Astyanax mexicanus: one gene and its partner. The protein of the gene in region 1 binds, or shares a complex with, the protein of each later gene. Links are inferred from orthologs where the notes say so. Each region holds a gene or a part of one and is shown on either strand. Other genes may lie near its edges.

Region 1 (9,060 bases):
CGAAGCGTTTCTACAGTCTCTATTCGTCTCAAGGCAACAGCAGTAGCTCGGGAAATGAACAGCTGAGTAACAGCAACGAGACTGACTCTGATAATGACGAGAGGAATCCGGAGATGCTTGATGCTGTAATCGCTGAACTGTTTAACTCAGACACTGAAGATGAAGAATTTGATGGATTTGTGGAAGAGGAATGAACTGAAAAAGTGAGTGCATTGTTTTCATTGTGTTGAGAGACTGCTGCGAGTTACTATTAGAGAGTTATCGTTCAGTTGTTGTGGAGTTTTTGTTCACAGCTATTGTGAAGGATTTATTGTTCTGAGATTGTACAGTTATTTTTCACAGATATTGTGAAGGATTTATTGCTCAGAGTTATTGTTACTGATATAAATAAAGTTTCATTTAGTGCGCCTTATAATCCAGTGCGCCTTGTGTATGGACTAACACTAAAAATAGACTGTTCACTCATCGTGCGCCTTATTATACGGTGCGCCTTATAGTCCGAAAAATACGGTATTCTCTTCATCATATTTAAAAGCCTTCAGACTTAACACATTATATTTTCAATAAGTTTAATTGACATTTTCATTACTTTTTATTTACAGTCATGCATGCATCCACCCTGTTACAGTAGTTACTCTCTGATTTTAGCGAAAATTGGTATTTAATGGAAACATGTTTAAGCTAAAGTTACAGACATATAGATTTATTCATGATTGTTCTTATTCTGTTTCATAGATACATTTAGATTTTCTACACATATTCAATTACTGGGATATTTTACAGTGACATGGTGGACAACTTAAAAGTTTTTATTTATTTATTTATTATTATTTTTTAAATAGTTAAATAAATGTATAAAATGCAGAATTCTTTTAAATTATTATTAAAATGTAAAAGGTTGTTTAAAGTAAAGATGAACATTCCTTTATATGCGTAATAATGTGTTTATTTAGAGGAAATGTAAAAACATTTCTGTTACACAGAGTTTGTATAAAATTTAGACAAATATCAGAGATTAGGTAAATTGGAGAAATTGGTGTGTGAATGTGTACAGCGACTCAGTGCTGCATTCAGTCCTCCAGGTGGACGGTGGTTTCCGGTTGAGAGTATGCTTTGCGTGATTGGCTGCTGCTTCTCACCAGTGTTTGTGTGTGGAATGCAACTTTTTAATCGTCCTTAAGTAACAAAAAAGGCTTTATATAAGTGTAAAAGTAAGTAAATATGCTGCAACTCAAAATTCACCTTATAATAGTGTATTAATATATTAATTTTAACTCACATATGTTTAATCTTCTTTTGCAGCATCTTTTCAATTCCGCTGCGTTTAAAGCTCGGACTAAACTACGGAACAAAGTGAGGGACAAACGAGCGGACGTGATGTGATGAAGATGGGTGACCTGAAGATGAAGATGATGATAACGATGATGAGGATGATGTAAAGGATGGAGAGATACAGGGAACGAGAGGAACACTACACCCCTCCTATCAGCTCACTTGAAATGATTAAACAGCGACTGCCAAACCAGGGACTTGACAATGCAAGTGTGTGTGTGTGTGTGTGTGTGTGTGTGTGTGTGTGTGTGTGTGTACGTGTCAAGATGAGTGAATGTGTGTGTGTGTGTGTGTGTGTGTGTCTCAGTTTTATTTAACAATACTGGATAAAATAATAACCTAAAAATCCTAATAATGAATTTAGCAGTAAGCAGCATTTTCCTTTACCGTGTAAACTGCGTTACTACAGGTGGCCACTGGGGGCAGTATTTGTTACGTTTGCCTTACGGCCAGCAGGGGGCAGATATGCTTATGGCCTACGATGCATATCTTGAATTTTAAAATCATTTTTTAATCTCACTTTTCTCCTCAATTTAGCTATTCTACCGAGCTCTTACCTGCTCAGCTGTATATCCCCCCCTATCACTAGTGATGCTCCAACACCAGGAGGGTGAAGAAGACCAGCACACGCCTCCTCCGATACATGTGAAGTCAGACTCCGCCTCTTTTTGAACTTTTTTTTTTTGAACACTTGGAGGAAAGCGCAGTGACTCGGTTCTGATACATCAGCTCACAGACGCAGCCTCGTGCTGATCCACATCACCCTAGGAGTGATGAAGGGAAAGAGAGAGCGCCATCTACTGTACTGTACCCACCCAGAGAGAAACAGCAAGGACAACTGTGCTCTCTCAGGGCTCCGGCAGCTGATGGACAGTAGGTTGCGTTGTTTTTCCATCAGTAGCTGGAGTCTGAGAGAGAGAGTACAGTAGGTCATGCTGTTTTTCAGCATTAGCAGCATGTATTGGGTTGGTTTGAGAAGAAAATAAAAAACTAAAAGGAAAATAAATAAATAAAAACAGAAATGGAAAATGCTGCTTATTGCTCCTTTAAACACAGTTTAATATTCTGCATTTATGACGCGCTCTCGTATGGCTGTGTTCTGCTTTTCTGTTATTGTATCTTACTTTCTAATTTATTGAGAGTTTTTGGGAAAACAGAAAAGACTTTTTAACATTAAGAGCCGTAAACACATCAACAGAGCGGGAAACGGCCGAGGAATAGAAATGAATTTCTAGTTTTTCTATCTATATTTTATACACAGGCTGACCGTGCATCTCCTCTTTAACATAAAAAATACAAATGCTTGAATATTTGTAGGAAGATTATAATTATATAAACATAAATGTCTTTTTTTTCCTTTTACTGCAAACAACCTTTTCTAAACTTCCGAAAAATTCCCACAGCAGGTGAAAGCTGCTCAAATCTGATTTTTCTCACCAAATCTGATGTTAATTTACTTTAGATTTACGTTCAGTTTGATGGTTTGATGGTTTGTGATCATCCATCTTCCTCTTGATTATATTCCAGAGGTTTTTAATTTGGTAAAATCAAAGAAACTCATCATTTTTAAGTGTTCTTTTTTTTTTTTTTTTTTACAGAGCTTTATATATATACCTTCTAATTTACAGTATTACAGTATTGTGGTTCTGTTATTTCAGTATTTAACAACTGAAACCCTCACTCACTGCGATCATCCATTTTTCATGCATTAATTCTGATCTGGATGTTCAGACTGAGTCGCGTTGCTGTAATTCAGATTTCAGTAACACTTGTTGAAGTGGCTTAAATTTTAAATATCGATTATATAGATTCAATCTTAAGTTTTTGCTGTTACACATCAATAACACACCTGTATCACATGACCAAAAATATCAGATTTTTATCATTTTCTCCTGCTGTGTGAATCGAGCCTTTCCCTTTTCCAAATCCTGAAAACGTCCGGTCTGGTGTTGCATGATTGGATTAGGTCAACCTGAATGGATCCTGCATTTAAATCCATTCAGAATATTATCAGATTACGCACAGTATCAGATATCGACTGAAAAAGAGAGAGAGATTCAGTGTTGTGTTGAGTAGTATTACGTTTTTAAGGGAAAACTTCATCCCTTATCAGACTGTTTCTATTTTCTACACCCCGTTACCCGTCACAGGTCTGATTACAGCAGTAAATAACAAAACAAAACAAAAAAACAGTGCATTTACATGCCCTTCATAATCTGATTACTGTAGAACATCGGTATTAGAGTTCGTCAGTTATCATATTAATGCAGTTACATAAATTTGTGTAATCAGATATTACTAATTACTAAGCTAAAATACATGTTTATCAGATTTAGTAATCCGATTTTGAAACCTTACTTTTATCTAAAAAAAAAAAATCTGAATACTGAATTAAAAAGCTGCTCTCTTAATCAGATTTTTCCACTTCCAAGTCTGATCTTAAAAAAATCTGATTATTGAGCTAAAATCCATCTCTCTATCAGATGTTTATACCTTAGTCAGAAAAATCCCAGAATACTCTAGTTAAGAGTTCACATTCACTGAAAAAAATCTGATTACTGAGCTCAAATCCAAATCTCTTTATCAGATGTATTAATCAGATTTTATATGTTACCCTGAAAAATATGAGCAATCTGATTTCTGATCTAAAATCCAGCTCTCTTCATCAGATGTTGTCATTCTTAATTGGATTTTTAGAGCTTTTTAGATGTAAGGAAATGTATAATGCTTTTCATAATTACTACATAAATTATTAAAGACAGTAATCTGATTATGAACAGATTGTTTTGATGTGTTTGTAAACACACAAAGTGATTCAAGCCAGTTAATAATAGGATCCAGTGATGGGCGGAGCTAAAGCAGCTGTTACTTTATTGGTTTCTATAATAAAAGTCCTTTGAGGCGAGTTTATTTTCAGGCCTTTTGTGAGTAAAATAGTAAATCAGTTTCTGTCTGTGGTGATGGACGTTTAATATACAGATCAGACTGAAACGATTAGAAGTTTTCCTTTAAGATAATAAAGTCTGGCCCTGTATTTTATAAAAGCTGATCTATAAACAGTGTGGATAGGATCGATCTGCTATCTACCCTTTCTCCCTCACAGCAAGTTTCAGAATCTGAACCGAAGCCCAAATATGTATTAAATGTTTTATTATCCCCAGAACATAAAGGGATAATTAAACAGTTTTGCAGGAAATGTTAGTTTTTTCCTTGGATAGATGGAATATAGATAAAATGAGAATTATGTGAATGCTGAAATATTGAATTATCCCTTTAACTGTGTGAGATGTAAACACTTCTGCACCCAGAGGGTTAAACATCAATTATGGCTTTCAATAAAAAATATACAAATATTTTATTTCATTTTGTGTCTCTTTGTTATTTGATTTATTTTAACCACAAATTACCTAATATCTTCTATACCATATATAAAAATAAGTTAATAGTTTAGTGCTATAAATATACATGAGGTAACTTTCTGAAAATAATCATTTTGAGAATAATCCACACAAACAAAATTGAATATGGGCTTAAAATATCAGGGTTTTTAAAGATAAAAATATTTTGCTTATTTATGAGTATGCTACTGTCTATGGCTGGCCGATATGATGGTATGATATGATATTTGAGGGTATTTTTGAGATAATATTCTTGGCAAAATATTTTATTATAAATAATTTATGATTTTTGATTTCAACAATATACTCCTGCAACTAAATAAACATTAAATTTTTAGTTTGTAAAAACAACAAAAAAATTAATGTTTGTTTTGTGATCAACAATAACTTACCAGCTCTCTGATTTTGTATAAAATAATAAATGTAAAATTACAAAATAAATAATGTTACATAAAAACAATGTAATGTAACAATAAATCTACAACAGAACTTAAGCTCCTAATATTTGGTGCTGCATTTAAACTACAAAATAACTTTAATATTAAACTGCTTTCGAGAAAAATACATCTATTATCGCTCTATAAGAACTGCAGTGCCGCTGGGGGTGTAGTGTAGTTACACTGCAGTGCCGCTGGGGGCGCTACTCGGTACTCTGCGCTGTTTGGTTGTTTGTACTACAGACCGGTACCGGAGAGCGGGAGCAGCGGGAGCAGCATGCCGCCTCGGACGCCGCGCGCGGGGAAACCCAAACTGTTTAAAGTGCGGATATCCGGACGGGCTGAGAAATTCGGAGTAGCCGCGTTTACACTGAAGGAGCTGATCCAGAAGGGAAGCGAATTATTTAAGGTAAGTTAGAATAAAACAACCGCTTTGTTCTGTTCTGCTTTACTTCCGGTGCCCTGTCTGTTTGAGTTAGCCTGCCGAATCCCGCTACCATAGTGTAGATCAGCAGTACTCGGTAAAACTCACTGTTTATACGATAAAACTAAATAACTCGTGTAAAAACAGAGCCAGTTCTGTTATATCGTGAGCGTGTAATAACCCCCCGAGATAATGAGAAGCTCTGAATGTTTGTTAACTAACTAATTTACCCCTTGTTTAGTTCGGACGGAGTCATGTTTCTGCATTAACAGGTCTAACGTTATATTGTTGTTGTCGAATGAAAAACAAGTTTCTCATTTGTGTGGATTTTTAGTTTACTACATAATTTAAACAGAGAAACTGCCCCTTTCTGAACTAAACCAAAAATGAGCTGAAATAAACTCTTTTTACATTGACTTCCATTGAAAGTTTAGAAGATTTTTATCTCTCTCCTGTAAAGCTGCTGTTTTAAATATACTTTTTTATTAGACAGCGATAATATCAACTTTATTTATTACTAGCTCTGCTAAAGTTTCTTAGATAAAGCAGCACAGACTGAACACATTATATCAGATGTTCCCAACAGAAATACAGGGTAAAGATTACGTTTTTGAGATAATCGCTTATAAAACCACTTATGTTTTATAACACTCACAAATACAGTAACAGCAAGTTTAGACTGTGTAAAATACCAGAGAAAACCCGTATTTACCTAAAGGAAAAAAAACTTAAACTGTGAATCAAACACACATGGGTCAGCGCATGCGCAGTGTCCGTAGGTGTCATATAAGGACGGGTAGCGCAACTCGACGGAACACCTGGTTCCGCTCTCAGTGCTGCTGCTCAGAAACGTTTCACTTTTCCTTCCTTTTTTACCGTTTTGTTTGTTTCATTTCTTGATTTGATTGATTGACTGTTTAAGTGCCTGATTGATTTATTGTCTGGCTGATTGATTTTTTTTATTAGCTGTTTTACTGGCTGATTGACTGTTTGATTGATTAATTGTCCGGTTGATTGGTTAATTAATTGGTTGACCGTTTAATTGGCTGTTTGGCTGATTGTTTAATTTGTTTAATTGATTGTTTGAGTGATTAATTGATTGATTGTGTGTTATTAGGTCTCTGGCTGTAAGCAGAAGCTGCAGTGTTGTCTGTATGAGGACGGGACGCGGATAACGGAGGATTATTTTCAGTATGTTCCGGAGAACACTGAGGTCCTGCTGATCTCTGAGGGTCAGAGCCGGAGCGGCTGTGAGTCTCTGTTTAAATAATATCTAAATAATAGCATAAAAAAATCATAAATTCTACTTAAAACATAATTAAATATATAATTTTGCGTTTTGACAAAATAATAAACAATAGGCAGGTTTTCCCCACGGGCTGGGGTAATATTACCAAAATCTCAAATTCCCATTATCTTGATGTTTAATCTAGGGATGTGCAGTGATGGATTTATCAGTATTTATTATTTTTAGTGGGTGATAATTTTTTTTTTATTATAATAATTATTATTTATGATATAAAATCAATGGTTTCTAACAATTTCTAGATATATGAAACTGATACTTGTTGAAGTATTATTTGTATGGTGAAAAAAGAAGACGCTGACCACGGAAGGTTTTATTTAATATTATTTGTTTCAATAGAACTGTTGTTTTATTTAAGCTGTTAATTTAATAAAAAATGGTAAACTGTGAAGAGTATGTAAGTTAGATGTTAAATAAATAAATAGATGCTACAGATAATTTCTCAGGAGAAAACTTTAATTGTATTGTTTGTATACAGGAGGATAAAAACTAATGTTATTTGTTTTTAAAATTTTGTCTCTGATCTCTAGCGCCGATAACGTGAAGTAATATTTCTTGCGTAATGATCTTAATGTATTGTGTGATGACAGATGCCAAATTTTTGCCTGAAATGAACTGTTTTGTGATAAATATAGATAATCCAGAATGTTTCAGTGTGTCAAAAGGGAATTTTTACTTTGACATTTTTTCCCCCCTAATCTTTCAATAAATTAGATTAGTAGGATCTTCTGTCAGATATGCACTTTTTATTCTCTTTTTTTTCATTCTTCTAAAACAGATTTTTATCTTTTCTATGAATTTTTGATATTAATCTCTTATGAATCTCCTCCCCGCAGTGCTGTATGATATCAGGCAGGTTCTGGGTTCAGACCGTCACTCAGACGAGCTCATCAGCGCGGCGAAGCGTCTGCTGACGGACGACGGCGAGGAGCTTCCAGCTAAGAGGAGGAAACTGCTGGGAGATCTGCTGAACAACCTGACGGACAGCGCCGAGCTGGAGAACCGCACCCAGGACCAGGACTGGTTTCAGGGTAATAATAAATAATCAGTTAAAGTTACAGCAGTGATTATAAAAGTGTTTAGAGGACGATAAAACTGCAGTATAGGAAAATAGAAGAGATGAACCCATTCATCAGTCAATTCAGAGTTTTTTCCTTATTTTAAAATGTTCTGTATTGTATATTAAAGCAGAACTCTGGTGTAAAATGTACTTTTATTGCAGTAAAACATGATAAAAATTCTTATCTTTGATGAATAGCACACCTCCGCTCTCCCACAGCGTTCAGAGATCCAGAAATTTTAAGTGTATCCAACAAACACCCTTCAGACTGGGAGATACGGGGCATAATTTACCCTGATAAATCACTTTTTACACCGTTATCCAGCTCAAAGTAGCTCCACATCTCCTTACTAGAATCCAAAAGGAGAGTCCTGATATTTAAAATGAGGCATTAATAACTTAAAAAGTGCTTAAAAAGAAGTTTATTAAAAAACACTGTTTACATCCTATAACTCCTATAGCTTCAGCTCCGAGCGCCGCCATCACTGTACTGATAATAACATAGACATATAAATACATAGACTTCACATAGTGCAGCAGCTGGCACCAGGAGTCATGGTAATCAGTGGTTATTTCTCTAATAAACTGATCCTGCAAACTTACCAGATCATATTTGGGCAATTTTATACAGCAGTTTTGTATGAGGATCACTGTAGGAACTTAATTATGTGTTTTGTGGATAAAAAGGAATTAAGACTTTAACGCCATTAACCGGATATCCCTCTCCAGAGTGCATCTTTCTGCTCACACATGGAGTAGCTATTAGCCCAGCAACTCAGCAGCACTAAAAACTCATATTTCATATTCAAAGGCACTGAAAATGATTTTCTAGCTGACCTGCTTATAAAAACAAAACAAAAAAAATGTTTTTCACCACAAATAGTTAAAAATCTGGCTCTTGTTTTATACTCTCTCTCTCTCTCTCATCTTTAAAATAAAAGACTCACAGCCATGGATGGATGTTAGCTTATTTTATTTTTTTAACACCAGTATTATAGAAATAATAATTTAATTATTTCCATTGAAGAAAATCACTTCATTATGAATCTCTTATTTTTCAGGTATTGATTCGAGGTTTAAGACTAAATCTGCGTATATGAGAT
Region 2 (9,458 bases), on another chromosome or scaffold:
ATTTGCAATTAAATAAATCAACAAACAGATTTTAAGATGGATGTTAAGCAAGCAAAATAAAAAATAAACTTTTAATCTTTTATTTTTTTTTTTTTTTTACTTATTTAGCTGAACAGCAAATCATTTATACCAAAACCATAATTTTATATAACACTACAGTGTTCTTCTAAAACGATACATTGTGAATGTTCTTTGTAATTTTAAAACCAATCTAACTTAGTTTAATCAAACTTTATATTTTCTTTCCTCTCTTTTCTCCTAAATCAAATGTGGTGGGCTAAAAAACTGCATTGTGATTTGATGGTATGTCTTCTAGAATTTAAAAAATCTTAAATGAACAATCACAATTTTAAGCCACAAATGCTGTTATGGCTATTTCTTTAACTCTGTGAAGTAGATTTACAGGAACTGAAAGTGTAAAGTATGATATGTCCACATGATCAGAATCTGAAGGTTCTGCTTAAACTGACCTGTAGGTCTGCCTCGGACATGAGAATGATGTTGGCCAGGTTCTGTTTGAGTTTGTCTGCTACCGTACGCCAGGGTTCCACACCATTGTCCATCCCACTGTCCACTGCGTCTGTCTCCATCTCGACAGTCTCTGATCTGAGCCATGCTGTGCCTCCGTCATCTACAGAGAACAACACAGCTGATCAGGATCTGAGATTACATTCATTTACAGAGGAAATGCTTTCCTGCAAATATAAGCTTACATCTTCTAGCAGGGGTCCACACCTCACCAGTACATAACAACATGAATTTGGTGTTTGGGGGCAGACACAAGAAGTAGGTCTCATCTTTCACAAAAGTGCCATCATCTTCCAGCACCACTGATACTGAGGAATCAGGCTTAAATTCCAGTGTTTCACTGCCTACAGGAGGAATAAAAAAATGATATTAATTTAAGTATTAAAGCTCAGATAAGACAACCATATTCTCCATACTTGTGCTGAAGAAGGAAAGATTAAAGGTCTTGCTTAAGGGCCCAACCCTCGAATCTTGCATCAATTGTTTTTTTTATGAAAAAGTTTATAAAGAGTTGTTTTAAATGCTAATAGAATAGCAATGAGCTAATGAGCAAATCATCTAATTTGACAGGGGTGCTCAAACATTTTCATGCAGATAACTTTTATATGCTACTACATTTTCATAAAAATATCTGCAGGTAAACAATATTAAAGTAATTTTCTTTCTGAAATGATTGTATGCCACTGATTTAGGTCAATAATAATGATAATAATAACAATAATAATAATAATAATAACAATAGCATAAAATGCAATTAAATATTTTTAAAAAGCAAAAATATTTGATGATTAAGATAATTCTAACTTTGGAATTGGAATACAAAAATATTAAACATACAGCACCTGTTAAAACTTTTGACACACCTTTTCTCATTTAATGTGTTTTCTTCCATTCTATTGTAAATTTAATATTTAAGATATTAAAGCTATACAATAAACATATGCAATATACCACATGTAGCTTTGAGGACAGACCTGCACACTCTTTGGTATTTTAATCTCAGTGTCTTCATTAAGGAAGAGTCACCTGAAATAGTTTTCTCAGCATCTTGAAGGAGTTCCTAGAGGTGCTCAACAATAGTTGCTGCTTTTCCCAAAGCTCATCCCAAATAACTACCTCATTTGGGATTTTTATTTTCTAAGTAATTCCCTATGTGTCCTTTAATTGTTTTAATTGTCTTTAATATTAATCTACAATGTAGAAAATAAATAAAAAAGAAAAACATTGAATTATAAGGTGTGTCCAAACTTTTGACTGATACTGTATATTTTACATAAAAATCCAGATTGTTCATGTTAATACATTTTACTTGAGTGTTTTTTTTACACTCAAGTAAAAACAGAGGGTAACATTATGTTCAAACTTAGTTTATATATTGTTTTCTTGATGAGTTGATAATGTAATTATTGTGAGGGGCCTACATATAGCTGTTTACATTGGTCAGTACTTAATCAGTTTAAAATATAGCCATAAACAAAGAAAAATAAAAGAAGGGAAAAGAACTGGAAAGAAAACAAGAAGAAGAGTAGGAGAAGAGTGGTTTTACAAGCTCTTCAGTGTGATTTTGTTGTTTTCACTTTCTGTCCTTTCTTAAGGTGCCCCTAAGGTAACATAATGTAAAAAAATAACAATAATAATAATAATAATAATAATAATAATAATAATAATGAGTGGCTACAACTTATTAATGAGATATAAGGTAAATGGATACTGCATACTGTCTGTGTCTGAGCCCATAAGCTTTTAGAATGAGAATAAAGTGTCTTTTAATTAGAATTACGCCATGTCTCACCACAAGAGACTCAAAAATATCGCCATAATTAATTCCAAAATAAAAATACAATTTACAGAAAAAAAAGTTGTATTGTTATTTTCTGGTTACGACTTAATTATCTCATTCCCATGCCTTAGGATCTCATTTTCACGCCTTAATTAAATTATTTAGACGTGGAAAAGTGATCCTAATGAATGGGAACAAGATGATTTAGTCATAGGCACGACTTAAGATGTGGGAATGAGATAATAAGAGAATAATAAAACTTGCTTTCCTGTAAATTAATTTCCATGAAGAAACTGAACATTACATCAAAGCTCTAATCCAAGGATAATCTTTAGTAAGAAAAGAGTGAATTGGTTTCTTTTTATTTTCATCTTGGAATTAATTATGGGGATATTTTGGAGTCTTTTGCAGTAAAATAACTAAAATGTTCTGTGTAAAATTAAGCTTGGGTTTTATTCTAGAGTAGAATAAAGCGCAGGCTTCCTCATGTAATTTTTTTTTACCTTATGATACTTCATTAGCTAGATATCTCTCAGTATTTTATATTTCTCAGTGTCGTGGCCACGCATTATTATATATATATATATTTTTTACGTGATCTGATCTTTGGGGCTCCGTACTTTGTATTGAACAGAAATAATCAAATACTAATAATCAAATACTAAGAGATACTTAGCTATAATCAAGTATAATGAAGTAAATAATGAGTTTACCTGAGAAAGTCTACTCTTTAATCATCTCTAGAAAGAAATTCAAGCTTTATTTTACACAGAATATTTAGTTATTTAGGGTAAAAGAAATCTTGGAATTTTCTATTGCACCTTAAAAAAGTGCTGCAGTTGCAATGTTTAACTGCTTCTTCCCCATTCTTCAAATTCAGAATGTAGCTTAACTAAACTACTGCACTTTTTTTTAAGGTGGAACGGATATATGGAATAAAAAAGGCAATCTTTAGCCTGATCTAAAGTTTGGGAGCAGTTTAAATATAAAATTCAACTGCTAAACGAGGCGAAACTAACTCACCCTTTATCTTCAGCTGATCCAGAGAGGACACTGCCACCCCTACACACCTCTGCCGGCTGTAGTTACACACTTTACAGGGTCTTACAGACATATTAGCTTTTTGTTTTTATCAGGGTTATCCTCAGCTGTGTGTTTAAAGTGTTAATATATCCATTAACATCAGACCGTAGTCCACACTGTGACAGATAGCTGCTGTTTTGTTTTCGTTTCAGCTCTTCTTCTTTGGAATTGATTGGAGCACAGTGGTGCAGAATATCACCCCCTACAGGCACTACAGCCTTACTACAGCCGTAGGTTACAAGGCTGTGCACATTTCTACTTTTCAGAATTTAATTCAGTTTAACCCCTTTAACAGGCCTTGGCCCATGCACAGGCTACAAGTGTAGGTGATACAGAACCAATTTTCTCTGTTGTACAATTTATTTACATTCTAAAAACATTAAACACTTAAATAATTTGCTTGTTCACTCTTTACTTCACTTAATTTCAGATCAGTAAGAAACAGGGCTGGACTGGGACAAAAAAATCGGCCCTGGCATTTTTGGTTTAGACAGGCCCCTCATAATTAGCAGAGCACAACCAACTTGTAATTTATGTATGTGGGGTTACAGAGAAGCATAATGTATCATCAGCATATTAACTATTATTATCTATTATTAACTCCACCATTTTTGTCTGCTCTGTGTAGTTCAACTGATTTTTTATCCTTTTTATTGAAATCATCTCTAATATGTATTTTGGGTTTTTTCTTTGATATAACAAATAAAATAATTCTTTTTTTTTAGGTTAAAGGTGCTTCCTCCTTTAAACAGCTATAACATGTATTTGTAAAAGTCTACAAACGGGCATTCTGTATAGCCTTACCATTATCAACTTCATAATCAAAATTTAACTTAATTATAATAATGTTTTGTTTTTTGAGATGGAATGTTGTAATGGGGCTCGAGAGAGAGAGAGAGAGAGCGAGAAAAAGAGAGAGACAGTCCGAGAGAGCGACGGAGAAAAAGAGAGAGAGAGAGCGAGAGACAGAGAAAAAAAAGGTAGAGAGCGAGAGAAAAAGAGAGACAGAGAGGCTGCCCTTCTTACGATAAAAAAGTGATGGAGATCAAGCTAGAGTACCCCTTCTTGCAACAAATTATGATGATGTGCCTTAGATCAAGATATTTTAATAATGTCTTAATCTTAATTAGTGGCCATCTGTGAGTGACCCTTGTTGTCCTTCCAGTCAAAAATGGTTCTGTTATGAAGCACATCTTAGGCCACACCAACTAGACATTGTTTTAAAGTGTATAAAATGTGATGCAGTGCTGTATAGGACTCTCTAACGATAGGACAGACTGTACTTTACCATCATGTTGGTAAAAGAAAATTGCTGTAAAAAAAATCCCCATTGTTAAAGTTGTATCTATTCCATCCATTTTAGTTTTTTTTTTTGTCATGCATTAAGTACCTTTTTATTCACTCATAATATTAGATCTACAAATCTTGCCATGATCCAAACTGCAGGATATATTTATCCAGCATGGTGTTGTTGAAGTTAATCATGACTGAATGATGGAACAGTAGTAATATTTATAGGGTCTTAGTTATCCGGTGATCTACACAAAATCTTTTTTTTTTTTTTTTTTTTTTTTTACTTTTCCTTTCCCACAACATGAAATGCAATCTTTATAGGGATGTAAGAATGATACTAAGGTATGGAGACCTCTATTGAAGTACTTGGTTAAATAATGCCGACACAAAATGTTTATTATGTTTATTTAATAAGAATATTAAGGTTGAGAGACAGTGGTGTTATGGACTATACATTTTTTTAAAGACCCAGATCAGGGACCAAGATTCCACTCTAGAAGATCTAATAGAACACTAATATACAGGAGGGAAAAACCAGGATTCCTGTAGAAAACAAAGAACAGGAGAGACAAAGACAAAGAGCAAGAGACCACAAGCAAAATGTTCACCTAAATCTGTAAATCTAATAATTTGCACCGGTACCCCACTGTTCTCAGCAGACCAGGCCACTATTCCCTCTGTCAGAAAAAAGTCATAATCCAATTAAACATCACCCTCACAGTCTAGCAAGCTCACATAATATAACATCGAACAACTGGGGGGTTATACACAAGACCTCAACTCTACACAAGTACTTTACTCTCCCACTCAATCATAATTAAATCCATGACTAAATTACAACTAATATAACATTAAACACCTAACCTTCCCTTTACCCACACAATAATCACTAATCACTATGTAGCAAGCTCTTCACATGGGACATCAGGTAGGCACTTCTTTAACTACCTACCTACCTTTTTTATCTAACTACCAACCCCTTTACCTACCTACCTATTTAACTATCTACTTACCTTTTTATCTAACTACCAACCCCATTACCTACCTACCTATTTACCTACCTCTTTAACTACCTACCTACCTGTTTAGCTAACTACCAACCCCTTTACCTACCTACCTACCTATTTGACTAACTACCTACCTTTTTATCTAACTACAACCCCATTACCTACCTATCTATTTGCCTAACTACCTACCTCTTTAACTACCTACCTGTTTACCCAACTACCAACCCCATTCCCTACCTACCTATTTAACTACCTACCTACCTTTTTACTTAACTACCAACCCCATTCCCTATCTACCTATTTAACTACCTACTTCCATGAATACCTACCTACATTTTTACCTAACTACCAACCCCATTACCTACCTACCTCTTTACCTACCTCTTTAACTACCTACTTCTTTAACTACCTACCTTTTTACCTACCTACAACCCCTTTACCTACCTACCTCTTCAAATACTTATCCTATATTTTTATCTAACTACCAACCTCTTTACCTACCTACCTATTTGACTAACTACCTACCTTTTTATATAACTACCAACCCCATTACCTACCTACCTATTTAACTACCTACCTACCTTTTTAATTAACTACCAACCCCTTTTACCTACATACCTCTTGAACTACCTACCTACCAACCTACCTTCCTATTTACCTAGCTCTTTAACTATCTACCTCTTAAACTACCTACCTACCTACCTCTTAACTACCTACCTACATCTTTAACTACCTAACTCTTTAACTCCCTTCCTAGCTTTTTACCTAACCTCCAACTCCATTACCTACATACCTACCTCTTTTACTACATTCCTACCTGTTTACCTAACTACCAACCCTATTACCTACCTACCTATTTAACTACCTACCTTTTTAACCTAACTACCAACCCCATTACCTTCCTACCTATTTAACAACTTACCTACCTTTTTACATAACTACCAACCCCATTACCTACCTACCTATTTAACTACCTTCCTACTTCTTTACCGAACTACCAACCTACCTACCTCTTTAACTCCCTTTCTAGCTTTTTACCTAACCTCCAACTCCATTACCTACATACCTACCTCTTTACCTACCTTTCTACCTATTTACCTAACTACAAACCTGATTAACTACCTATTTAACTACCTACCTACCTTTTTACCTTACTACCAACCCCATTACCTACCTACCTCTTTTACTACGTTCCTACCTGTTTACCTAACTACCAACCCCATTACCTACCTACCTACCTCTTTTACTACGTTCCTACCTGTTTACCTAACTACCAACCCTATTACCTACCTACCTATTTAACTACCTACCTTTTTAACCTAACTACCAACCCCATTACCTACCTACCTATTTAACTACCTACCTACCTTTTTACCTAACTACCAACCCCATTACCTACCCTCCTATTTAACTACCTACCTACCTTTTTACCTAACTACCAACCCCATTACCTACCCTCCTATTTAACTACCTACCTACATTTATACCTAATTAACAACCCCATTACCTACCTACCTATTTAACTACCTACCTACCTTTTTACCAAAAATACCAACCCCATTATCTACCTACCTCTTTTACTAGCTTTCTACCTTTTTACCTAACTACCAACCCCATTACCTACCTACCTATTTAACTACCTACCTTTTTAACCTAACTACCAACCCCATTACCTACCTACCTTTTTAACTACCTACCTACCTCTTTACCTCACTACCAACCCCATTACCTACTTACCTATTTAAAGACCTACCTACCTTCTTACCTAACTACCAACCCCGTTACCTACCTACTTATTTAACTACTTACCTACATTTTTACCAAACTACCAACCCCATTACCTACCTACCTCTTTAACTCCCTTCCTAGCTTTTTACCTAACCTCCAACCCCATTATCTACGTACCTACCTCTTTTTCTACGTTCCTACCTGTTTACCTAACTACCGACCCTATTACCTACCTACCTATTTAACTACCTACCTTTTTACCTAACTACCAACCCCATTACCTACCTACCTCTTTACATACCACTTTAACTACCTTCCTACCTGTTTACCTAACTACCAACCCCATTACCTACCTACCTACTTCTTTAACTACCTAACTACCTTTTTACCTAACTACCAACCCCATTACATACCTACCTATTTAACTACTTACCTACATTTTTACCAAACTACAACCCTATTACCTACCTACATATTTAACTACCTTCCTATCTCTTTACCTAACTACCAACCCCATTAGCTACTTACCTATTTAACTACTTACATACCTTTTTACCTAGCCATCAACCCAATTACCTACCTACCTCTTTAACTACCTTCCTACATGTTTACCTAACTACCAACCCCATTACCTACCTACCTACCTCTTTAACTACCTACCTACCTTTTTACCTAACTACCAACCCCATTACCTACCTACCTATTTAAGTACCTACCTACCTTTTTACCAAACTACCAACCCCATTACCTACCTACCTCTTTACCAACCCCTTTAACTATCTTTCTACCTGTTTACCTAACTACCAACCTGATACTTACCTACCTACCTCTTTACCTACATTTTTAACTACCTACCTACCTTTTTACCTAACCACCAACCTCATTACCTACCTACCTTTTTACCTACATTTTTAACTACCTACCTTTTTACCTAACTACAAACCCCATTACCTACCTACCTCTTTACCTACATTTTTAACTACCTACCTACATTTTACCTAACTACCAACCCAATTACCTACCTCTTTACATACATTTTTAACTACCTACCTACCTTTTTACTTAACTACCAACCCCATTACCTACATACCTATTTAACTACCTACCTTTTTTACCAAAACTACCAACCCCATTATCTACCTACCCATTTAACTACCTTCCAACCTCTTTACCTAACTACAACCCCATTACCTACCTACCTATTTAACTACTTTCCTACCTCTTTACTGAACTACCAACCCCATTACCTACCTACCTCTTTGCCTACTTCTTTAACTACCTTCCTACCTGTTTTCCTAATTACCAACTTCATGACCTAACTACATTTTTAACTACCTACCTACCTCTTTACCTACCTCTTTAACAATCTACATACCTGTTAACCCAACTACTAACATATTACCTACCTACCTACCTATTTAACTACCAGCCTACATACCTACCTACCTACCTGTTTACCTAAGTACCAACCCCATTACCTACCTATCTATTTAACTACTTACCTACCTTTTTACTTAACCATCAACCCCATTACCTACCTACCTATTTAACTACCTACCTACTTCTTCACCTAACTACCAACCCCATTACCTACTTACCTATTTAAATACCTACCTACCTTTTTACCTAACTACCAACCCCATTACTTACCTACCTCTTTAACTACCTTCCTACCTGTTTACCTAACTACCAATCCCATTACCTACCTACCTATTTAACTACCTACCTACCTTTTTACCTAACCACCAACCCCATTACCTACCTACCTACCTATCTCTTTACCTACCTCTTTAACTACCTTTCTACCTGTTTACCTAACTACCAACCTATACCTACCTACATATTTAACTACCTACCTTTTTACCTAACTACCAACCCCATTAGCTACTTACCTATTTAACTACTTACATACCTTTTTACCTAGCCATCAACCCAATTACCTACCTACCTCTTTAACTACCTTCCTACATGTTTACCTAACTACCAACCCCATTACCTACCTACCTACCTACCTCTTTAACTACCTACCTACCTTTTTA

Evidence for each region.
Region 2: the proteins of dffb (region 1) and dffa are in contact, whole or in part, in an NMR structure (PDB 1F2R), measured with the Mus musculus proteins. The link is inferred for Astyanax mexicanus from reciprocal best matches to the Homo sapiens genes DFFB and DFFA. Residues at the interface, in NP_031885.3 of Mus musculus: Cys10, Lys12, Arg14, Ala19, Cys20, Lys21, Phe22, Gly23, Val24, Ala25, Ala26, Arg39; in NP_001020467.1 of Mus musculus: Asp66, Thr68, Ile69, Val70, Asp71, Asp72, Asp74, Tyr75, Trp94, Tyr96, Asp100.

What each region holds. Positions count from the first base shown.
Region 1 is NC_064419.1:50,210,293-50,219,352, forward strand, and holds the start of dffb (DNA fragmentation factor subunit beta), read left to right. Parts: upstream 1-5,393; 5' UTR 5,394-5,444; coding exon 5,445-5,576; intron 5,577-6,708; coding exon 6,709-6,841; intron 6,842-7,733; coding exon 7,734-7,928; intron 7,929-9,018; coding exon 9,019-9,060. Other genes in the region: ifrd2 (interferon-related developmental regulator 2), read left to right, coding at 1,303-1,383. UniProt on the Homo sapiens protein: Nuclease that induces DNA fragmentation and chromatin condensation during apoptosis. Degrades naked DNA and induces apoptotic morphology.
Region 2 is NC_064420.1:41,387,888-41,397,345, reverse strand, and holds the start of dffa (DNA fragmentation factor subunit alpha), read right to left. Parts: upstream 3,564-9,458; 5' UTR 3,423-3,563; coding exon 3,332-3,422; intron 873-3,331; coding exon 714-872; intron 632-713; coding exon 471-631; intron 1-470. UniProt on the Homo sapiens protein: Inhibitor of the caspase-activated DNase (DFF40).